Xenopus tropicalis: one gene and its partners. The protein of the gene in region 1 interacts with the protein of each later gene in a pairwise test. Links are inferred from orthologs where the notes say so. Each region holds a gene or a part of one and is shown on either strand. Other genes may lie near its edges.

The links.
Region 2: the proteins of washc3 (region 1) and cchcr1 interact in binary tests that used the Homo sapiens proteins (3 or more experiments, as listed by UniProt). The link is inferred for Xenopus tropicalis from reciprocal best matches to the Homo sapiens genes WASHC3 and CCHCR1.
Region 3: the proteins of washc3 (region 1) and pbxip1 interact in binary tests that used the Homo sapiens proteins (3 or more experiments, as listed by UniProt). The two-hybrid records come from large-scale screens. The link is inferred for Xenopus tropicalis from reciprocal best matches to the Homo sapiens genes WASHC3 and PBXIP1.
Region 4: the proteins of washc3 (region 1) and hsbp1 interact in binary tests that used the Homo sapiens proteins (3 or more experiments, as listed by UniProt). The two-hybrid records come from large-scale screens. The link is inferred for Xenopus tropicalis from reciprocal best matches to the Homo sapiens genes WASHC3 and HSBP1.
Region 5: the proteins of washc3 (region 1) and ift20 interact in binary tests that used the Homo sapiens proteins (3 or more experiments, as listed by UniProt). The two-hybrid records come from large-scale screens. The link is inferred for Xenopus tropicalis from reciprocal best matches to the Homo sapiens genes WASHC3 and IFT20.
Region 6: the proteins of washc3 (region 1) and txlna interact in binary tests that used the Homo sapiens proteins (3 or more experiments, as listed by UniProt). The two-hybrid records come from large-scale screens. The link is inferred for Xenopus tropicalis from reciprocal best matches to the Homo sapiens genes WASHC3 and TXLNA.

What each region holds. Positions count from the first base shown.
Region 1 is NC_030679.2:49,099,141-49,103,082, forward strand, and holds the start of washc3 (WASH complex subunit CCDC53), read right to left. Parts: upstream 2,801-3,942; 5' UTR 2,734-2,800; coding exon 2,683-2,733; intron 513-2,682; coding exon 414-512; intron 59-413; coding exon 1-58. UniProt on the Homo sapiens protein: Acts as a component of the WASH core complex that functions as a nucleation-promoting factor (NPF) at the surface of endosomes, where it recruits and activates the Arp2/3 complex to induce actin polymerization, playing a key role in the fission of tubules that serve as transport intermediates during endosome sorting.
Region 2 is NC_030684.2:75,151,315-75,154,814, reverse strand, and holds part of cchcr1 (coiled-coil alpha-helical rod protein 1), read right to left. Parts: intron 3,147-3,500; coding exon 2,948-3,146; intron 1-2,947. UniProt on the Homo sapiens protein: May be a regulator of keratinocyte proliferation or differentiation.
Region 3 is NC_030684.2:145,127,653-145,131,877, reverse strand, and holds the start of pbxip1 (pre-B-cell leukemia transcription factor-interacting protein 1), read right to left. Parts: upstream 2,801-4,225; 5' UTR 2,692-2,800; intron 1-2,691. UniProt on the Homo sapiens protein: Regulator of pre-B-cell leukemia transcription factors (BPXs) function. Inhibits the binding of PBX1-HOX complex to DNA and blocks the transcriptional activity of E2A-PBX1.
Region 4 is NC_030680.2:62,632,707-62,636,942, reverse strand, and holds the start of hsbp1 (heat shock factor-binding protein 1), read right to left. Parts: upstream 2,801-4,236; 5' UTR 2,785-2,800; coding exon 2,740-2,784; intron 1-2,739. UniProt on the Homo sapiens protein: Negative regulator of the heat shock response. Negatively affects HSF1 DNA-binding activity. May have a role in the suppression of the activation of the stress response during the aging process.
Region 5 is NC_030678.2:47,412,886-47,416,983, forward strand, and holds the start of ift20 (intraflagellar transport protein 20 homolog), read right to left. Parts: upstream 2,801-4,098; 5' UTR 2,522-2,800; intron 1-2,521. UniProt on the Homo sapiens protein: Part of intraflagellar transport (IFT) particles involved in ciliary process assembly. May play a role in the trafficking of ciliary membrane proteins from the Golgi complex to the cilium.
Region 6 is NC_030678.2:86,595,709-86,599,208, forward strand, and holds part of txlna (alpha-taxilin), read left to right. Parts: coding exon 1-40; intron 41-648; coding exon 649-740; intron 741-856; coding exon 857-1,027; intron 1,028-1,242; coding exon 1,243-1,437; intron 1,438-1,911; coding exon 1,912-2,031; intron 2,032-3,500. UniProt on the Homo sapiens protein: May be involved in intracellular vesicle traffic and potentially in calcium-dependent exocytosis in neuroendocrine cells.

The DNA of each region.
Region 1 (3,942 bases):
CCAAAATATTAAGGGTTGTTTCAATCTGCTGAATACGTAGGGACAAGGCAGAAAGTTTCTAAAACAATAAAAACAAAGTACCAACATTAAAGGTCTAAATAATGGACATATTCTGTAGCTCTGTGAGGGGTAAATAATCAAAGATGCAAATTAAATAGGATCACTGGCCTATGCAGCATATAGAGAAGACCCTGTTCATATGGGCAATGTAATGTAAGCTCCCACCAAGCCCGTGCAGCCATTAAATTACCTGAAAGCCCCAAAATGTACATGTACTGAGATTTCAAACGATAACATTTACCATAACATTCTCTCATCTGAACAGTGCAAGCTGCAATAGACTAAGTAGCACTTGGTTTCCAGTCAATGCTGTAGAAAAGAGGGAAAGCTAGAACACGCTAGGAATACAGTACCTCTTCACAAACTGTAGCAAACCGGTTAAGGAACTGAACAGAGTGCACAACAAACTGGTTCAAAAATGCCACTGTTCTTTTCTGCTGAATAGGTGGGACCTAGGGTTTATTAAATAAAAGAAAAAAGGTCAGTATACTGCATTTGCAAAAGGTATAGAACACAGTGCAAGCAACGGATATTAGTTTGAACAGGTATATAAAGGGTTCATTCATCCAGGCCATGGAAAACAATACCTAGTTGTGTTAAATCTAAAGCAACTTGAATTAGAAGCTCCTCCGATGAGTGGTGAAATGTTTAATAGAACTAGCCTACTAATGACAAACTGAAAGGCTTTTTGACCAAGGCAATATTTCCAAAACTCTAATCAGAATAACTCTATGGGGCCTGGCACATAATGACCAGCAGAGGCACTTTTGCAGTTCTGAAGTTACAGCTGCCTGCATCTTTGCAGGGCTCCTTGCTCGAGGATGACAAGATGTAAAGATGGCCATACACAACATATTTAAGCTGCTAATTCGGATCCTTTAGACCGAGCTTATCTGCCTGTGTATTGGGACAGGACTCCCCGATCATTAATGCGGTACTTGCTCCAACTTCTCATATCCCGTTCATTTTAATGTAATCTTTTGGCCCTAGGGCCAAACAATCACATTAGCACAATATCACCCGCTCAAGGTGAGCATATCCGGGGAAAGATTCACTTGTTAAGCGACGCCATCATACAAGTGAATTTTACCATGTATGGCCACCTTTACACAGCTGAACAATCGGGGTTAGTTAGTGCACATCATTGAGACACACCTTTAAAAAGAGTGGATATTGAGGGAAGGATTTAATAGTTTGCAATGAAAAGAGATTTTATCCAATTCTCCATAGGGTAACTAAACTTAAAAGTGTGAGTTCAAACAAATGCCATAGAATTATTCCACAATCCTGAAGATACAGAAGCCCAGTTAATTAGGATATCTCACTCTGCAGCCCATGGCTGACGGCCGTGTATACTAGCTGTGTGTATACACTTCTAACCAGAGTCCTCTGCACAACAGCAAAGGACAGTTATGTCTACAGGATTAATCAAAAAATAATAGTGGGTAGAAGGGCTTCGCTGTTAACAGGGATGCTGTATCCCTGGGATTATTAAGCAGCAGTATGACATAATAAAGCCCTTTGAAAAACACATTTTTAAGACCTTAAGCCAGCGGAGATGTTTTATAAACGGAAGAGGCAATGTACTTCAGTGTTAAGATGAAGACACACAGAGCTATTAGTAGCAGCTACTTGTCGTGGCTACTGTCTCTACGTATGTTTTAGCAGGGGCAATTCTCGGTATTGTCTAAGGCTGGGTATTTTCTGGCATTTAGTAGCCTTGACAAGTAGCTGCTACTAAGTAGCTCTGTGTGCCTTCACCGTTATTGTCTATGGCAAGGTATTTTCTGGAGTTTAGTAGCTGTGAAAAAGTAGCTGCTACTAGTAGCTCAGTGTGACTTCACCCTTAATGAGAGGGCTACTGCTTCTGAAGTACGCAAATGTGATTAAAATAGTTGTAGAGGCTACTGCATTATTTCCACCACTCTGTGTTAAAAAGACACCTGCATGTGATTTTTTGGGTGTAAGTTTGCTGTGCCTGTTGATGCAGCTCACAATGGGAACCCTGGAATTACGGCCACCTGCAAGCTAGAGGTAGCACTAGGGTTCCCCTGCATCATTAGATGCACAGACAGGCACAAGGTTACTTAGTTCAAATATAAGCAAGTGCACAAATACCTTTAATGAATCTCTTAATGATTGCATCCTTGATTAGCACCATCACAACTGCAGCCATAAACAAGCCCGATTGTGTCTGAGTCTGAATGGAGCTGACCAATGCTTTCGTGGAAATGGCTTTTTTTGAAACACATGATGTATGTGCCATTAAGGAAAAGCCTAGCCACAATTTGAACAACTGGACATCTTTACAGCAAGTGTAACACCACAAAGCACTATGAAACATCAGCTACAGACAAGTGCAGTAACAGTAAATAATCAAGTATATGGGACAGCAGGTCAGTTAAGACAGGAGCCATATGGATATGCTAAGAACATTACAGTACCAATATCATGACTGCACAGTAAATAAAATGAATGAATACACAGTAAAAGTGTAACTTGCCTTCCCTTAATGACTACAGGTTAGTGTAGAGCTGACTGACTAGAAAAATGCACATGAACACACATTACAATACACATTAAATCTGCCCATTCCCCTTCACTTCCCCCTAAAAGACGCACCTTAGTGAGGTCAATCCCAGAGCCCACTATAGGCAGCCCGTCTTCATCCATCAGCCCAGCTCCCCTTGCTCACTGCACTACCTTGTGTTGTGACATGGTCTGTCATGTGATTCCTTCCGTACCATAGAGAAGACTGAAGCCAGAGCGGCACACAGAACCTCTCTTGCTTATAAAACCTCCATGGCTAAAGTTGCTGCTGGCTTAATAATGATTCAGTGACTACAGAACTGCTTCTGTTTCCGACGTATTCATGTGACTAACGCCACTCAAAGCACTTGCTTTTTAGACTTAACCCACTCAATGCCAGATGAGTTTCTTAATTCGTTTGTATTAGTAGGCAGCAGATTGCAGCTTTTGAGCAGGAAGGGAAGTGCAGTAACAAATGAACTGGTTATGGGTGCCGCAAACTCTTTTGTACAGGGAGCATAATGTGTCGCCTCAGCCCTCTCCTGCTGGCTGCAGGGTTGTTGGTTTTTTTTTAATTATTATTACAAACCTTGTATTCAGTGGCTGCTCAATTTTTTTACTTTTATAAAAGTATATTATAGAAGGGACCTGGGCAGAGGTGTTTTACCTATAATGCCACCCTGAGACCATTTTTTTTTTTTTTGCATCAGAAGGGGCTAGTGCATCGCTATCACAGAGAGCACAGTAGCACTTTTTGCACTAGATAGGGTTGCCACCTTAAGCTGGCCATACACGTGGCGACCATCGGTCGCACGAAACATCGTCAGATCCGCCACACACCATTCAGGGCTGAATCGGCAGGTAAGGAGGTAGAAACAATAGGATTTCTACCTCCTGCCGATTCAGCGCTGAAGGGAGATTTTGGTCAGGCGCCTTCTATGGCGCCCGATCAAAATGTTCAAACTGGTCCGATCAGCGAGTTGGCCGTTATCAGCAGCTTCTTGCGATATCGGTCGACTCGCCGACATACCATACACGCACCGAATATTGTAAGTTTGAGGTTTTATTGTTTAAGGATTACCAGAGAAAAAAACTGCTGTTTCACTTGTGCTACTTTTAAAACTGGCACCAATAGTATTGGCCCATATCCATGGGTCAGGCAAAAAGTATACAGAGAAAAATAACTAATATAAAGTAAAATAGAGAAAACAAAAACAAAAGCCATAGTTGTCCCTTTAGGGTCCATATGACTAACTAGCAAAGCAAAGTACCATAATGTGACTGTTCTATCTGCCTATTCTATAAATTCACATTTGTTATGTCACAGGTGGCTTACTTTCATGCTTTTTGGAA
Region 2 (3,500 bases), on another chromosome or scaffold:
TAAGCATGCTATATATCCCATTACCCTTTTATGTTGTGAAACATTGCCACAAACGCTCACCACTGCCCCCAACTGGGAGAAAAGGCTTCATGCCCAAGTTTCATTATATTTGTTCCTATAGTTGCAATTATTTTATCTGTTTGCCCTAGAGTTTCCAGTATCCCCAAACCATTGTACAGTGCTTTGGAATAAGGTGAAATATTATAAAACTTTAAGAACTATAACAAATAAGCAATAGACTGATATTATTAGCCTAAACACAGAACAAATTTATTTTGCTAAATTTAAGTATTAATGTAGCCATTCTTAGCCAAAATATAAGCCCTGAAATAGCTCAGTGTTGAGCAGAGGGAAACATATGTCAGCTTTGAAGTTCAATGCCCAGAGGAGAATCTTATTCTATAAAGACAAAAAGGAATATCTTGCCAGTATTTTTTACTGTCTCCTGGAAGAACTACATGCTTGAACAAAGGCACCTTTTAGAGGAATTTGATGCAGCCAGTATATTTATCTTGATTTGACTGCATGGAGTTTCTTAATTTTCATGGGAAGGAATCACCACTGCCTCGCTATAAGAAACTAAATCCCTGGTGCATGCATTTCAGTGCGGTGGTTTAGAAAAGGGACTAGTGGTAATGCTTTGGGGACATGCTGTAAAAGCTGGGTTTCGTTCTTTAAGCTGTTACTCACCTGCCATCTGGCTTTAAGTCAGGGCACTTTTAAAACTATTTTGGTTGGTTCTGTTCCATATTATGTGAGTTGCTGATTCCAGGGCAACTGTTGGAGGTCAGCCTGAAGCACACTGGACCCATGAGTTTACCTGTAAGCATGGGTTGCTGGATAAAACTTCAGCAGGACCTTTCTCTGTTCCTGTCTTCTCGGTGCATACCCCAACCACTCCTGTTCAGATAGGGCCCATGTATCACCCCCTCTATACAAGCATAGGTAATAAATAAGATAAGATAATAAAGGATATTTAAGGGGGCTTGGCATCTCCAAAAAGATATGACCTGTTATATATATTTGCCATTCAGTGCCCTTGAATGAGCCAGCCTCTTCAATAAAAATTTCAATAAGGATAAAATATGTGACAAAGTTAGGGTTAGAAATTTTACCTGCTGTGCTACCTATATTTTTTACTGTGGGCCAACTAACAAAACTAATAGGTGGATTTTACATAAAAGTGTGTCCCAATGCATTTTTATGTATACACCAGAGCTTACTGGTGTGTGCAACATGGAAGAATAAAGAAGGTAGATGTTCATAACTATGCTGGGCAGGTTTTCTCAGTCAACCAAAGCATCTCTGATGCAACTCTTTCAACAGAGGCAGAAAAGAAGCTATGCCAAGGCATAAATCGCTTTATACATTATGATTAAAAAAAAAAAACTCAACAAAGTAATACATGCATTGCATTTGTAAAGTTTGTAAACTTTTTTTTTCATCCACTGTATAGTAGTTCCCCTTTTAAGGGCAAGAAAAGGCAAATTTAAACCCTGATGCCCCTTTTTGGAAAAAAATTGTACAGGCCCAGAGAAATTACAGGGTGGCCACTGACACCTTACAGAGTTCTCAAGTGGCTGGCTTAACTTAATTTGGCTGTTCCGAAGTAAATATGTAGTTCACACATTTTAGTATGGTGTAGACAGCACAAGTTTAATTGGTCATCTTAATTATGAAGACCTATATTACAACTTAAAAAAAATACGTTTCTTTGTTCGAGAATATAATTGTAAATGGTAAAATGAATTATCTGCTATGTAAACAGTGTAATTTAGAAATAAACGTATACCATAAAAATCAAGACAGTATCCATTTAAAGAATCTACAACCTGTCCTGAATATAATCCAAATGTTTACTCCATTCCAGAAAGAAATGTCTGTGTAATACATGCCCTTACACCTGTTTAAGACCTAAGGCTAGATATTAAAACATAAGATTCCTTTACTTTTCTACCTTATTTTGTTAATGCAATTTTGCCCACCCTCAAGGCGCAGCAAGATTTTTTTTAGCTTGTTTATGCCCAAGTTTGTGAAGAAGAACTACATTAGTCATGCAATTGTCTACTGTATCAATCTTTTCTGGCCAAAATTCCAAACTAAATGGTCTAGTATGGTATAATGATCTTACAAAATAACGTCAAAAAGAATGTGAAGGACTTTACATGTAATGATAAATGCAAATTATCATGTCACTCAACATATTGCACAAAAGTTGCAGCATGTGAGAAATTTGTGCGACAGCTAAATCACACCGTATTGTTTAGAATTGCTGACATTGGACATATTGAATGTGCAGCCATCAGACATATTGCTGGGGACAACAACTGTAAGTATCCACAATCAGAGTTGTTAAAGATGCTGGTGCAGACACATTATACTTTTTAGGAGTATATTATTAATCTGTTGCTTTTCTTGAAAAGTCAGGAATTGAATATATATGATCTGGAAAATCCCCTACTGAGAGCATAGCAGTAGATAGTGATAGTAAGAGCTTAAAGTACTGACTATTAAAGATAAAGATGCTTTGCAAAAATGTTTTTTTCTCACAGGGCCTGTTCAAATTCAGACGATGTTCTGAAGGTGAACATCCCCTTTAAAGTTTCATTTTCACCTACTCCCTGGTGAGCTCTGTGAGGGGGTCTCCAACTCTTAACTGTTCTAATCCCATTAGTTGATGCATTTCTTTGGCCCTGTTGAGCATAATCCCAGCTTTCATTAAAAGCAACTGTTATAACTGATACAATGTTTGCTAACATTAGATAGAAGACACCGAAAAAGTATCAAATTGTAATAGTCTGCATCTGGATTAATGAGCTGCTGGACTGAAGCACCAGAGAGAGGAACAGCAACTTTAAACTTCAATATTAGAAAAAATAATCTCTCTTAAAACAATTAAACTGAAAAAAGTGTTTGGAAGATGAGCAACCACTAGTTTTAGATATACCTTGATTGGATAACTTCTTTCTCCATCTCTTGTTTCTTTCTCAGTTCCTCATTTGCTTGCCTTAGGCTTACCAACTCCCTTGCAAGGTCTGTCCATGGTTCACAGATTGGAGGATGAGATGTAACCGACACAGAAGGTGGAGGAACAGACACACGACGACGGTTTTCAAAATGGGAAGGGGGAATCAGCCCACCTAGACCTAAAGAAGAGAAAGATAACATCATACAAAACAATGAAGATGTCATTGTCACAGTCTTTATTGTGAAAGTCATGACATGTTTAACCACTCCCAAAGCTCTCCTACATAACACCCTGTTACATTTTAAAGATCTCCTGAAACTCACCCCTTTTTGAACACAAATCATGACGGTCTTTTGGAAAAAAGAGTTAAAAATTATGACTGGTATGGCATCACACAGCTCAGTGAAAAGCTAAGCTGAATGGGCACAGCTTATCCACCCTGGTAAAAACTACCTTGCATAACAATAAAACGAATTCATAATTCCTGCCAGAGCCTGTTAATGTGTAAAAGCTGGGAAGTTGAAAAAATCCT
Region 3 (4,225 bases), on another chromosome or scaffold:
GTAGTTCCCTGGCTGACAGTTCCTTGGGCCCCCATGTAGTTCCCTGGCTGACAGTTCCTTGGGCCCCCATGTAGTTCCCTGGCTGACAGTTCCTTGGGGCCCCATGTAGTTCCCTGGCTGACAGTTCCTTGGGGCCCCCATGTAGTTCCCTGGCTGACAGTTCCTTGGGGCCCCCATGTAGTTCCCTGGCTGACAGTTCCTTGGGGCCCCCATGTAGTTCCCTGGCTGACAGTTCCTTGGGGCCCCATGTAGTTCCCTGGCTGACAGTTCCTTGGGGCCCCCATGTAGTTCCCTGGCTGACAGTTCCTTGGGGCCCCCATGTAGTTCCCTGGCTGACAGTTCCTTGGGGCCCCATGTAGTTCCCTGGCTGACAGTTCCTTGGGGCCCCATGTAGTTCCCTGGCTGACAGTTCCTTGGGGCCCCCATGTAGTTCCCTGGCTGACAGTTCCTTGGGGCCCCCATGTAGTTCCCTGGCTGACAGTTCCTTGGGGCCCCCATGTAGTTCCCTGGCTGACAGTTCCTTGGGGCCCCCATGTAGTTCCCTGGCTGACAGTTCCTTGGGGCCCCCATGTAGTTCCCTGGCTGACAGTTCCTTGGGGCCCCCATGTAGTTCCCTGGCTGACAGTTCCTTGGGGCCCCCATGTAGTTCCCTGGCTGACAGTTTCCTTGGGGCCCCCATGTAGTTCCCTGGCTGACAGTTCCTTGGGCCCCATGTAGTTCCCTGGCTGACAGTTCCTTGGGGCCCCCATGTAGTTCCCTGGCTGACAGTTCCTTGGGGCCCCATGTAGTTCCCTGGCTGACAGTTCCTTGGGGCCCCCATGTAGTTCCCTGGCTGACAGTTCCTTGGGGCCCCCATGTAGTTCCCTGGCTGACAGTTCCTTGGGGCCCCCATGTAGTTCCCTGGCTGACAGTTCCTTGGGGCCCCATGTAGTTCCCGGCAGTGCGGGGGTTACGGACAGAATGTCCCGGCAGTGCAGGGGTTACGGACAGAATGTCCCGGCAGTGCGGGGGTTACGGACAGAATGTCCCGGCAGTGCGGGGGTTACGGACAGAATGTGCCGGCAGTGCGGGGGTTACGGACAGAATGTCCCGGCAGTGCGGGGGTTACGGACAGAATGACCCGGCAAGTGCGGGGGTTACGGACAGAATGTCCCGGCAGTGCGGGGGTTACGGACAGAATGTCCCGGCAGTGCGGGGGTTACGGACGGAATGTCCCGGCAGTGCGGGGGTTACGGACAGAATGTCCCGGCAGTGCGGGGGTTACGGACAGAATGACCCGGCAGTGCGGGGGTTACGGACAGAATGTCCCGGCAGTGCGGGGGTTACGGACAGAATGTCCCGGCAGTGCGGGGGTTACGGACGGAATGTCCCGGCAGTGCGGGGGTTACGGACGGAATGACCCGGCAGTGCGGGGGTTACGGACAGAATGACCCGGCAGTGCGGGGGTTACGGACAGAATGTGCCGGCAGTGCGGGGGTTACGGACGGAATGACCCGGCAGTGCGGGGGTTACGGACAGAATGACCCGGCAGTGCGGGGGTTACGGACAGAATGTCCGGCAGTGCGGGGTTACGGACGGAATGACCCGGCAGAGCGGGGGTTACGGACAGAATGACCCGGCAGTGCGGGGGTTACGGACAGAATGTCCCGGCAGTGGCGGGGGTTACGGACGGAATGACCCGGCAGTGCGGGGGTTACGGACGGAATGACCCGGCAGTGCGGGGGTTACGGACAGAATGACCCGGCAGTGCGGGGGTTACGGACAGAATGACCCGGCAGTGCGGGGGTTACGGACAGAATGACCCGGCAGTGCGGGGGTTACGGACAGAATGACCCGGCAGTGCGGGGGTTACGGACAGAATGACCCGGCAGTGCGGGGGTTACGGACAGAATGACCCGGCAGTGCGGGGGTTACGGACAGAATGACCCGGCAGTGCGGGGGTTACGGACGGAATGTCCCGGCAGTGCGGGGGTTACGGACAGAATGTGCCGGCAGTGCGGGGGTTACGGACAGAATGTCCCGGCAGTGCGGGGTTACGGACAGAATGTGCCGGCAGTGCGGGGGTTACGGACAGAATGTCCCGGCAGTGCAGGGGTTACGGACGGAATGTGCCGGCAGTGCGGGGGTTACGGACAGAATGTCCCGGCAGTGCGGGGGTTACGGACAGAATGACCCGGCAGTGCGGGGGTTACGGACAGAATGTCCCGGCAGTGCGGGGGTTACGGACAGAATGACCCGGCAGTGCGGGGGTTACGGACAGAATGACCCGGCAGTGCGGGGGTTACGGACAGAATGTGCCGGCAGTGCGGGGGTTACGGACAGAATGACCCGGCAGTGCGGGGGTTACGGACAGAATGTCCCGGCAGTGCGGGGGTTACGGACAGAATGTCCCGGCAGTGCGGGGGTTACGGACAGAATGTGCCGGCAGTGCGGGGGTTACGGACAGAATGACCCGGCAGTGCGGGGGTTACGGACAGAATGTCCCGGCAGTGCGGGGGTTACGGACGGAATGTCCCGGCAGTGCGGGGGTTACGGACAGAATGTGCCGGCAGTGCGGGGGTTACGGACAGAATGTCCCGGCAGTGCGGGGGTTACGGACAGAATGTCCCGGCAGTGCGGGGGTTACGGACGGAATGTCCCGGCAGTGCGGGGGTTAATGTGCCGGTACCGCTCCCGCTGCCCCAAACTCACCTCACAAACTTCTCTACAGCAACAGGTTCCAGTTCTCGCATCCCACGTGACTCCAGCTGGCCAATCAGCGCTCTCCCCCAGGGAGCGGGGCCAAACAGAACGTCTCATTGTGTCTGAGGGACATCTGGCTCCGCCCCCGACTATGGCTTAACCCTGTGTCTCCCGGCTTGAAAAGTGACAGGTGCACGGACAGCTGAAGGGGCGGGGTCTGGGGAGGAGCTTATGTGAGTGAGTGGCAGGGGCAGTGCTGAGGGGAGAAAAGTATTTAGTCTAGTTCAGCTCTGAGGCTGTCACTCAGAATGTATCAGGTACCGCCCACTGAGCTTGTAGCCTCAGTCTGGGGCCAGGGGGGTGGGTCTGGGGTAGGTGAGTGACAGGTGCAATGTATTACTGTGTAACCAGTAGCTCCTAGAGTGGGTCCTGCTGGTGTTCATTGCCTTAGTCCCATAGCAACCATGTAACCCAGGCCTCAAGCTGATGCTCCATCTTGTCCTACTGTCTCCATCTTGCCCTACTGTCCCCATCTTGCCCTACTGTCCCCATCTTGCCCTACTGTCCCCATCTTGCCCTACTGTCCCCATCTTGCCCTACTGTCTCCATCTTGCCCTACTGTCCCCATCTTGCCCTACTGTCCCCATCTTGCCCTACTGTCCCCATCTTGTCCTACTGTCCCCATCTTGCCCTACTGTCTCCATCTTGTCCTACTGTCTCCATCTTGCCCTACTGTCCCCATCTTGCCCTACTGTCCCCATCTTGTCCTACTGTCTCCATCTTGCCCTACTGTCTCCATCTTGCCCTACTGTCCCCATCTTGCCCTACTGTCCCCATCTTGTCCTACTGTCCCCATCTTGTCCTACTGTCTCCATCTTGTCCTACTGTCTCCATCTTGCCCTACTGTCCCCATCTTGTCCTACTGTCCCCATCTTGCCCTACTGTCTCCATCTTGCCCTACTGTCTCCATCTTGCCCTACTGTCTCCATCTTGCCCTACTGTCCCCATCTTGCCCTACTGTCCCCATCTTGTCCTACTGTCCCCATCTTGTCCTACTGTCTCCATCTTGCCCTACTGTCCCCATCTTGTCCTACTGTCTCCATCTTGCCCTACTGTCTCCATCTTGCCCTACTGTCCCCATCTTGCCCTACTGTCCCCATCTTGCCCTACTGTCTCCATCTTGCCCTACTGTCCCCATCTTGCCCTACTGTCTCCATCTTGCCCTACTGTCCCCATCTTGTCCTACTGTCTCCATCTTGCCCTACTGTCTCCATCTTGTCCTACTGTCTCCATCTTGCCCTACTGTCCCCATCTTGTCCTACTGTCTCCATCTTGTCCTACTGTCTCCATCTTGCCCTACTGTCCCCATCTTGCCCTACTGTCTCCATCTTGCCCTACTGTCTCCATCTTGTCCTACAGTCTCCATCTTGTTCTACTGTCTCCATCTTGCCCTACTGTCCCCATCTTGTCCTACTGTCTCCATCTTGTCCTACTGTCCCCATCTTGTCCTACTGTCCCCATCTTGTCCTACTGTCTCCATCTT
Region 4 (4,236 bases), on another chromosome or scaffold:
TTGTGAGCAAATAAATTGATAAACACATAAATCATGGGCAGTAATACCCTAAGCATGTATATTGCAGCGCAATACAGAACTGGTCTTGTCAAGTTATACAGTACCATACAATGACTCTATGGAACAAGTGTATAGGTAAATCAGCAGCAACCTGCATTAACCTTCCATATAAAGCCACCCACAGCAACATCTAAACTGCAAGACCGGCCTGGCACCCTCAACCACAATATCATGTCAGATTCATGTCAGATGATATGTTTGGCTATATAATGTAAATCAATTCTACTTTAGTTCCAGAATACACTTTTATAAGAATGTCACAAATTACGTAATTAATAAGCTATATGTGATCAATACAAATATAGGTTTCCCCACATACAGTCAGGTCATGTTCAAAAGTTTGGGCACCCCCTGATCATTTACCTACTTTGTTGTGAGCAGTAAGAAGTTTATGCAGAAGCAATGTGCAGTTATCAGGGATCCCTGATAAAGTTCCTTTAACTACTACTGCAGGATTCTGTGTCTTGGTAGAAATTCCATTGAAGGAATAATGAGCTGAGGAATGAGTGTGGTAGTGGGGACTTGAGAAACTTTAGTTAACAGTGGAACAAGGGAACGACACACTTAACCCTTTAAGAGATCATCATATTCAGCATTAGGAAATGCGATTCTTGCACAGGGTTACACAGACCCCAAAAATGTATGTTTTATCATGTTGGCATGATGCTACGTGCATGTCAGTTAAAAAGTATTAACCCTGAAATCCTTGCAAATCTTAAAGCACAATTACTATTTACTTACAAAAAAACATGTTATGTGCATATTGTTTTGGACATCCCTTTAGAAAAAAAATAATGCAGCAATGTGACTAACCTATTGCCAGTTGTCACTGGTTTGTGCATTTAATTCTTCTGCACAAGTACGAGTGTTAAATCCTTACTAGGGACACCTGGAGAAGTGCACTGACCAAAAACATTTTGATTATAGGTAGAATCTATACTTCCATCTATCCACACTGGCTCGCCACACAACCCCAACAGAACCATCCACAAGCTAGTGGCAAGGTGCTCTTCAGACCCTTATTCTTTTTTCTCCAAACATATATGGTGATTGTAGCCAAAATCAATGAAATGTTTGTTTCCTAAAATTACAGCACTTGGTTCCAAAAGGTTATTGACTGTTCTAAGTGTACTGTTACATACAACAGGGCTGAGGGCGACTAATCTCCCTGCAATGCCATCCCACCGGCTAGAATGTAAATCGCTGGTGGGATGGCATATGCATCCCTGCGAAGTCCCGAAGTCGCCCAAAGTTGTCTTGAGAGGAAACTTTGGGCAACTGTGGGACATCGCAGTGACGCGTAGGGCCCACTTTGCCAAGCAGACAACAGATAAAGTATTCAGAATACAATGGGCTTTTTGTGTACACCAATGGGGTTGTCAACTGTAATTCACTGCTTTCTACAGCGTTCTAGGAATGAAAAATATTTTTATAAAAAAAAAAACAATGGTGAATGAAATGACTTGCCAATTCTGAGCAGACATTATTAGATTTAAATACATTTACAAAGTACTGCCACCTTTTTTTTTTTTTTGTTATTGGTCATTTTAAAGTCTTGCACAACCAAAAAGGATATATACCGAGCAGCAAGTTTTCAGCTAATGACATACAAATATTTAACAATGATAACACTATTTTTATTGTTAAAAAATTGATTCGTGAAACTCCAAAAATTAAAAACGAATCAAGTCAAGTCTTGCCCTTACTAAATCACTAAGCAATGCAGCACTGCAATGCCACTTTTACTTCATTTTCCCAGGTGTCTCACTTTAAACTCAGATGCACAGAAGAGTAAAATTTTCAGATTCATACAAGTTAAGGTATGGGATCCCTTATCTGGAAACCGATTATCCAGAAAGTTTCGAACTACGGAAAGACCCTCTCCCATAGACTGCATTATAAGCAAATAATTCACAAAATGTTTATAAATGATTATCTTTTTCTCTGTAATAATAAAACAGAACCTTGTACTTGATCCCAACTAAGATATAATTAATCCTTATTGGAGGCAAAACAATCCTATTGGTTTTATTTACGGTTTACATAATTTTATTAGCAGACTTAAGGTAGGAGATCTGAATTACAGAAAGACCCCTTATCTGGAAAACCCCAGATCCTGAGCATTCTGGATAATGGGTCCCATACCTGTATTAGGATAAACACATTGCAAAGGTAGGTAAAATGGTGAAGCCGAGCTGCGTTGTTCCCCGGGGCCAGTGCATTTTTGTTTGTTAAAAGGAGCAGAAAAAATAACCTTGTCCTTTAAAATAGGGACACATCTATGTGGCTGCTCCAACTAAATCCAAGTCTTTACTGCATTGGGCTGTGCCCCTTTTTCAGTTTAGTGTAATTTATTGGAGATTTATCTCAAATCCACATATACAGATTCTGATTCTATTGTGGTTTTATAATCAGCTGAATCTTTTGTAAAGGATTCAATATTTGGTCGAATCAAAAATGACAGGTCTTGTAAATCCCTAGTTTAAACAAAAAATTGTATTAAAAAAAAAAAAAAAGAGAGAAGCAAAAGAGTGATGGGAGATGTAAACATTAATGGCAGAAGGGCCACAAAGGCGACTTCCAATCTGCAAGCAGACTGGCCATTACTGCGGGACCATGCTCCTAGTTTTATATCATTTAATAATCATTAACACATCGCGCCCTAAAAGCTGCGCTCACCACCACGGTCAGGTCCTGCACTGTCTTAGGATCTGTCTCCGACATAATGGATCCTTCTCCAATACCAAAGCCCTTTCCGGCCACACAATCCACCCCTCACCGCAGAAGCTTTTTTTCAAGAAATATCGCGATAGTTCAGGAGACTGCTGACCAATAGGCATCAAGAGTAGGAATTTCCCACAGGATGTTGTAGTAGTATTAGAACGAGGCTATAAACGCAAAGTTGTTGCCGGATGTGGTTGACGAGGTAGTTTCTATGGTGACAGGAGCGAATCGCTTAGGAAACGAACTACAACGCTGAGAAGCTTGGGTTGGGCCGCCAGGTTTCTAGGAGATCTGTTCCGCTTCATGGGTGCTTTTAACATAAACATGTGTATTGATGAAGATTATTTAGTTACATAACTTGCCGGGAAAAGCAATCCTAATGCAGGGCCACTTTTTATTCGACCCCTTAAAATCGAAACTAAAAAATAAATGAATAAAAATAATAGTGCAGGACCAAGTATTCAATATACTTATACAGCCAATATGCATGTAATGAAGCGTCACAGTTTTTAATTTTAGCATATCGCATTATTTGCCTATTGTGAAACAATGTCTCTCAATTGATTACATGTATTAGTAATTATCCAGGTCCAACAGCCTCAAGTAAATATAAGGAAGGTAAGGTATGAAGTAGGTAGGGATGAACTGAATCCAGGATTTGGTTTGGGATTCTGACTTTTGTAGCAGGATTTGGATTTGGTGAACCCATGTCTCTGGTCGAACTGAATCGGAATGCTTAAAACTTTTTGCCACATAAACCCGGAAGTTGAAAATGTTTCTGTTTAGACATTTTCTTCTATGATCTTGTCCCTGCTAAACAGAATTTCCATTTATTTGCTTAATACCCTTTTACATGACTTCAGATTAAAGGAGAATGCAAGTCAAAATTTAAAAAGCATACTGCCCAATAGTCCTCCTATTGTTTAGTAAAAACGCCACACTTTTGGCTCACCTAATCAAATATTTACTCAGTCACACTTACTTCACATTTTCTAGAACAGGCAGCCATCTCTAAAAAGGTATTCTCTCTTCCTTTCCCTCCTTGCTTCATACTGCACATGTGTTTCACTCCCTCCCCCCCTCCCCTCTGCCAGATCCGCTTCTGATTGGCTGGTGGGCATGTGTAGCTCAGAACAGGAGACAGGATCAAGTTACACACATGCTCAGAGAATAGGAAGGCTGCCGCTGGCAGCCTACAGGAAGGGAAGAGAGATTTCAGTGATGTCACTGTAGTCTTCACACTGCTGTAGGCTGTCAGCACCATATCTCAGAGAAGCAAGCAGGGATCTGGGAATTAAGATATGCAGTAAGCACTGTTCCCTCTAAGCTGTGCGCGTGTGCGCGCGCACACGACTTTTCGAACCCGCGCACACAAATTAAAATAGCGCGCACAAAAATTAAATTTTTGTAACTTGATTTAGACAAACTGAAAGACCTGCGCAAAAATGCCCA
Region 5 (4,098 bases), on another chromosome or scaffold:
ATGCTTTCAGTTATATAACCACGCCCAACCCAGTCATCTGTGATGTCACCAGAGGGATTTGCCACAAACCAATAAATAAATAAAGGGAATGGTGCCCGCAGTCATCAACCACACCAAGAAATCAGAGCAGCCCATTCTGCTCATTTCCCCCAGCTTCTCTCACACCAGCCAGGCAAATCCCTTAAGAACCACCTATCCTTCTGACTCCTGCTATTATTGTGGTTCTTTCACATGACGATCCTGCGGTTGCCTTCTACATCTGAGAAGTAACAACAGTTGTGGTAGCAGACTTATTGGTCAAATGTTAAAAGATACCCCCACCACAGTATTCTTAAAATATATCAAGCGACTAAATGGGCATCTTAAGATCTCTTAAAAATCCTCATGTCGTGACAGCACCTAGAAAGTAACTTATTGAGGGAGGAAGGGTTCAATTTATGTGACAAACAACTGTTGGCTATGGGAAGCTGCAGAGTAGCTCTTTGCCAAAAGAGAAATTAACAGAAGCCATTTGGGGTTACGTTTTACTTTAAAGTGGTAGTCCACCTGAAAATTACCTGTAAGTATGTTATGGACTATGGCATTCTCATTAACTGGATATTTATTGATAGGAGTGGGAGTAACACATACATTAAAGCACCTTATCTATAGATTTCAGTAAAAACAGTGGCATCTGCTGCCCAAGCCATTATTCTGCATCAAATGAGAGATCTATTTGGCTTTACTCATCAAGAAGATCTATTTATTTATTTCAAATTCAAGAACCTATCAGTGTAATACATCTTTTACACATGAGATGCTGCTATCAATGAACTTCAGCCTTTTAACCTGAGCCTATAAAGCATCTATACAGAAAGTTAGCCCCAAAATCTGATGTTTCTAGGTCAAAGGGGCTGATTACAAAAGTGGTACAAATAAACATGTTTTTATTGTCTGTTCAGAAATTTGAGAGGGCTGCTTTACTATGTCTTTAGCAGTACAGAGCATGGAAAAACCCCCATCTTAGTAATGATTGTGTGATGTAACAGGGAATACCACACACTGGCACAAAATGCTGGGGCACATTTGCAATTTACTATATTACTCTAAAATTCATGGTTTTAGAGGTTTCTAAAAACCATGAAAAAACTCATTTCCACTAAAACCAAGGGGCTGATTTACTAAGACACGAATTCGAATTGGAAAAATTCAGATTGGAAAATGAACATTTTGCGACTTTTTCAGCGCCTTTACGACTTTTCGGAAATTGTCGCGACTTTTTCGTTACCAATACGATTTGCGCGAAAAACGCGAATTTTTGTAGCCATTAAGATTCGCTCGTATCTTGTCGCGACTTTTTCGTATTGAACGCTCGTAAGCGGCGGGCGAAACTTTCAGACTTAGCAAGATTTTGGAAGCCTCCCATAGGACTCAATGGCACCCTGCAGCTCCAACCTGGCCCAAGAAAAGTCACCATACTGAAGCTTGAATGAATCCGAACGCTACGAAAAAATCACAACATTTTGCGCAACTTTCGGAATGGCTACGAAAAAGGCACAACTTTTCGCTTAAGTTTTAACGCTCTGAAAAAATCGCCAGATTTTGCGCAACATTCGGAATGGCAACGAAAAAGTCGCGATAATTTTCCGAAAAATCGCCAAATACCGATCATTACGAAAAAACCGCAATTGGACGCATTCGGCCCGTTCGTGGGTAAGTAAATGTGCCCCCAAGTGTCTAGTCATTTGTTGAAAGAACTAAAATGCAAAACAAAAACCAAAAGAACATGAAAATATGAATCATGAAAAAAAAATACAAACATTAACAAACGCTGCCTTCGGTTTTGTGATGAGGGACAAAGATGATGGATCTCTTTCAGACCCTGAACACTATGTGGCTATCCTGAATAGGATAACAGAGAGATCCCATCATGCTCACACAAATATGGGTGTCCCTATAGCATCAAGCCTCTTACTCTTACCTTATTCCCCTGCCATGGATGCACTAAGTGCACAGACAGGATGAGATTTCCTTATGCACAGTGGCTGCAGGTTTCTGAGCACAAAGGCCAGTTTGCCCCATAGTGCCCCAGAACTGCCCCTCTCTGTCCTGCCTGCCCTACACTAGCCCTGTAAGCAGCCTCAGCCTAATACAATCACTAGGTACATCTCATAAAGCTGATAATGAAGATAATTGTGTTATTTATTAGACACATACTAGTGTAGGAATGTTCCAGGCTACTATGCCGCTGTATCTGTTGCTGACTGACTGTCTCCTACCCCAGTCCCACAAGGTGGAGCTGCCAATCAGCAAAAGCTGCCCTGTTAACGCTGAAAATTCTGTGGAGCGCAATGAATTTGGGAATTTTTGCCAAGGGCTTGTCACCCATAGCAACCAGATGTTTGCTTGTAACAACGACATGCCACCTGCAGACTGGATGCTATGAGTAACTTGCTCAGTATCAGAATTATCGCCTTTTATTCCATTAGCCCCAAAGTCCCCGGAACGGTCACATTTACTGCCCCACACCAGCTGCTCTTACCTCCCGGTACCCTTCGGCTTCAGCTGCCACGGATACAACTCGCTGCTGTTTACAGACGTCACTTCCTAGGACACAATCTAGATTCCATAGTGACAAAGCGGAAGCTGAGTATGTGGGCGCCATGTTGCATACTGGCAAAACATTATTCCAGAAACTTGATTGTGTAGTTGAGCTTCGAATCGTCCTCACGGAAAGTGACTAAATCTCTGTTGGAAGCGATATGATGCAAATTGAGAACATATTTAATACTGGAGGTGTATTACCACAGGTGCCTGACTGCGTTCACATAAGATATAGTTGTTCTGGCGTACACACATTTTTAGAGAGTAAAAAGTCTGCAGTTATAAAAAAAGGTCATGTTAAAGCCCACGACTTTCTAACCGGTAAATCCAGAACTAAATATGTCCGCTAGTATTAATTCCTTCTTTTTAGCGAGGTTTAAGCGATGACCAGGGAACTAATGCCGAGGGACAGCGCCATGGGTTTCCGGGAGTTTAGTTTGTTATTGCCTAAAATGCGTAAAGCTGCGGCGTAGGTCAGTATAGCTTGCTACTACATTTCCCAGCATGCCCTGGCGCTGGGCGGTGCCTAACTTGACCCAAGATGATTGTGCGGGCGGTTTCTGTGGCAACAAGTTGCGGAAGTGACCTCAGCTAGTGGAAAAGATGGAGGAAGATGTGGGGAAGTGAGTGAAGCGGAGCGCCCTGTATGTAGTGTTGTTAGTAGTAACCCGTGTAGCTGCAGGTGTGTGTGGGACAGAGGATGCGGCACGGAGGTACGGCTTGTAGGAACTGCCCCACTGGGGGCGCTGTCACACAGGGGCTTATTATCAGCCACACGCCCATAGCATGATACAGAGGGATGGCTCACATGCAGGGCCATGTACCGACCGACACATTAGCGTGTAGCAGTATGGGGAGGCCTGGCCAGGAAGGGAATTACAGTAACAGTATGGGGAGGCCAGGAAGGGAATTACAGTAGCAGTATGGGGAGGCCTGGCCAGGAAGGGAATTACAGTAACAGTATGGGGAGGCCTGGCCAGGAAGGGAATTACAGTAACAGTATGGGGAGGCCTGGCCAGGAAGGGAATTACAGTAACAGTATGGGGAGGCCTGGCCAGGAAGGGAATTACAGGTAACAGTATGGGGAGGCCTGGTCCAGGAAGGGAATTACAGTAGCAGTATGGGGAGGCCCTGGCCAGGAAGGGAATTACAGTAGCAGTATGGGGAGGCCTGGCCAGGAAGGGAATTACAGTAACAGTATGGGGAGGCCTGGCCAGGAAGGGAATTACAGTAACAGTAATGGGGAGGCCTGGCCAGGAAGGGAATTACAGTAACAGTATGGGGAGGCCTGGCCAGGAAGGGAATTACAGTAACAGTATGGGGAGGCCTGGCCAGGAAGGGAATTACAGTAACAGTATGGGGAGGCCTGGCCAGGAAGGGAATTACAGTAACAGTATGGGGAGGCCTGGCCAGGAAGGGAATTACAGTAAGACAGTAATGGGGAGGCCTGGCCAGGAAGGGAATTACAGTAGCAGTATGGGGAGGCCTGGCCAGGAAGGGAATTACAGTAGCAGT
Region 6 (3,500 bases), on another chromosome or scaffold:
CAGAAACGAATGCAAGACAAAAAAAAGGCAAAGGGTCTGGGTAAGTTGAAACCTTTAAAGTCAAGTATGCCATACTTGCCATTACAATCCCTGACCTGAGGTATTGTTCAATATTGTTTTCCATTGTTACATAATGAGACCGTTTCAGGACCACCACAATGCGTCTGCCTCAAACAATGTGGAGAATTGTTAATCATGTCTAGTAGCTAAAGATTTCTATAGACTAGGTGTTTCCAATCCATTTCTCAGTGGGCCCAGGTTATGTCAGGCTGTCAGCTGTTTCACCCAAAATTTGTATTTGTAGTATTTTAATTGTCTCACATTTACTGCATATACTTGGCAGTATTATTTCCAAATGTGTCCTTAAATTATTGATGTTAATATTTTTACACATTTCATCATAGGATAATAATTTTACTAACCAGCTTGTATTAACTTAGTTGTATTTCTTGACTGTTACCCTTTTTCTACCTATAAGTGGCAATGTAGAGTGTTGTAATGTGTATATGCATTTGAGATTAGTTTTTTTTTTTTTAAACCCTTTACCATAAAATGGTAGTGTGTGTGTGTGTGTTCTAGTTATTTTGCTTGTAGCAATGTTTCCAGATTGCTGTTATGTTTAAATCTGACAGATCCCTCATGTTTTAGGAAAGGAGATCACATTATTAATGCAGACTCTGAACACACTCAGCACCCCAGAGGAAAAGCTGACTGCCCTGTGTAAGAAGTATGCAGAACTGGTGAGGGACCATAAGTGCAATGGTTATTGATGACGTGTTAATCTTTAAGCTTATTTATATTGTGAGTGGCTGATCATATTGTAAATGTAATTTTCTTTTGTTTCCCTCTACCCAAGTTGGAGGAGCACAGGACATCTCAGAAGCAAATGAGGATACTGCAAAAAAAACAGACCCAGCTTATTCAAGAAAAGGATCTACTTCGTAATGAGCACAGCAAGGCAATCCTGGCAAGAAGCAAGCTCGAAAGTTTGTGCAGAGAGCTACAGAGACACAACCGTACACTAAAGGCAAGTACTCTGACTACTAAGTTCCCACTTACACAGGAGCATGCTGTAAGTTGATTGTGTTATTGGCCCATGCCCAACTCTACTTCATCTACATAGTATGCTGAGATACTCCCTATATCATTGCTGTCAGTTGGTTGTTTTGACTTTGTTGTTTTGAAGCTCAAACCTAGCATTTCTGCTCAGCCTTTGTATCGCATGTATTTGCACCTGCACAGGAGGAAGGAGTACAGAGGGCTCGTGAGGAGGAAGAGAAACGCAAAGAAGTAACCTCCCATTTCCAAGTGACGCTCAATGACATCCAGTCACAGATGGAGCAGCACAATGAACGTAATGCTAAACTGCGTCAAGAGAATGTTGAGCTTGCTGATCGACTTAAGAAGCTTATCGAGCAATATGAGCTAAGAGAAGAGGTGAGGGGAGAGAGGATTGTTTTTATTTGATAAAACAAAGCAATGGAATAATGTGGAATTAGCCACCAGGGTTAGTGACACATCTATTGATGATTTGTTATGCTTTGAGCACTCACTTCTCTCACTACCAGGAGATCACATAACCCATTGGGTAAATTCCCTCCTTTCAGGAGGCATGGCAAGGCAAGACAGAATTCGTGAAGCTCATGTTCCCTTTTTACCCCAATAGCTCACCCCTTGTAACATAAAAAGTGGTAGAATTCAAAGCAGAGGGAAAATCAAGTTTTCAAAATAAATTTTAATTCATAACTATTTGGCATACCTAAAATGTGTATGTAGTGTAAAATAACTATGTACTTGTAATAAGAAGAATGAGCCAAGCGTATTTTAAGGAAAGACTGCACTATGTCTTTACTAGCAGTCTCTAATGTAACCATCTTCCATTTTCCGTATATTTATTTTTGTTCCCTCCAGCACATTGACAAAGTTTTCAAACATAAGGATCTTCAACAGCAACTGGTGGATGCGAAGCTTCAGCAAGCACAAGAAATGCTGAAAGAAGTGGAAGAGCGTCACCAGCGGGAAAAGGAGTTTGTAAGTTACTACAGTTGAATCGATTTTTATATTTTATGATATGTTGCCCAAATTTTTGACCATCTCATCATTAAATGATGAGTGAGTTTAAAGGGTAATGTTATAATAGCTGAAATGTGTGCTTCTGGTCTAGTAACTAATTGGAACCAATCCAGATATTTACCAGCAGACCAGTAACTGCTCCCTGAGCAAACATTTAAACATTATAATACCCCCTGAAATATTTATATAGGTCAGTGTTAATTTGACAAAAACATCATCCTACAATTCTTGTCTTGCTGCTGCACAAGTAATTCTTTCTTATCACATCCTGCCTACAGTATCCCCCCCCCCCCCCACCCCTTTATTAGCTATATTTTTTGTGGCAGGCTGACCTTTCATGACTTAAGGTGGCCATACTGAGGCAGATTTAAGCTGCTAAGTAGAGTCCTTTTAGAAGTATTAGGCAGCTTGTCCTGTTTATGGGGACCCCCAACGGGGCTACCCAACTGAAATCTGGCAAGGTGTCAATCAGGCAGGTTTGATTTTTCCATCAGATCGGGGACTGCGGTTTACTGATGCAGTCCTCCCTGACAGTTTCTCTCACCTTTCTTAGGAGACGTTGGTTCTCGGTTTATTTTGTGTCCACCTTAGGCTTAGGATAAAAGGGGAGTTATGTCTTACTCTGAAATCCTTTTCTTCACTTTGTACTGTCCATAGGAGACAGAACTTCCAGTTAGGGGTAGGAAGTCCTGTTAGTCCTGCACCTATAAACACTTTGTGGCAATATCCATTGCAATGATTCATTTGCCCTTTGCACACAAATTCAATAAGTAAAAAGCTGCATTAACTGATACCCTGTTTACAAAGAGAGTTGCATCCACTTTGGCAGTGAACATGATGATCTGCATCCATACCTTGCACTTTGTGCTCACTTCATAAACGAGCCCTAATGTTCATTCCACCCTGAAGTAGGGAGCAGGAAATGGAAATAACCCTGCCCAACTACCTTATCCTGTCCTGTACTTTGGTATTCAACATGTTGAGCTATAATATAGCACCAGAAGAGATTTCAGCCTAAACAAAAAGGGAAAAAAATTCACCTAGAAAGCCACACAATGACCTCATCATACGCTGGCAGTGGAATCAGGACAATAGGATTTTAAGCATGATGTATACAGGGGTATAGATAAGATAATTAAGCTTTTTGTTCTGCAGCACCCCAGTTTGAAATTCAAAATCTGTTACTAATGTCTTAATTACTGGTACAGTTAAATGACTAACTGATAGATGAACAGAAAGCTAAATTACAAAAATGTAATGAAAATAAAATTAAAATATAGATTTAGGTTTAATACACATTTGGTTGCTGGTGTCCGTAATGTATTTTATATTTCCGTCTGTAGGAAGCAGAACTGAAAGTCAAACCGTTTAAGCAGATCGGGAACCACAGGCAATACAAAATGTAGACTTAAGCTGTGTCACACTTA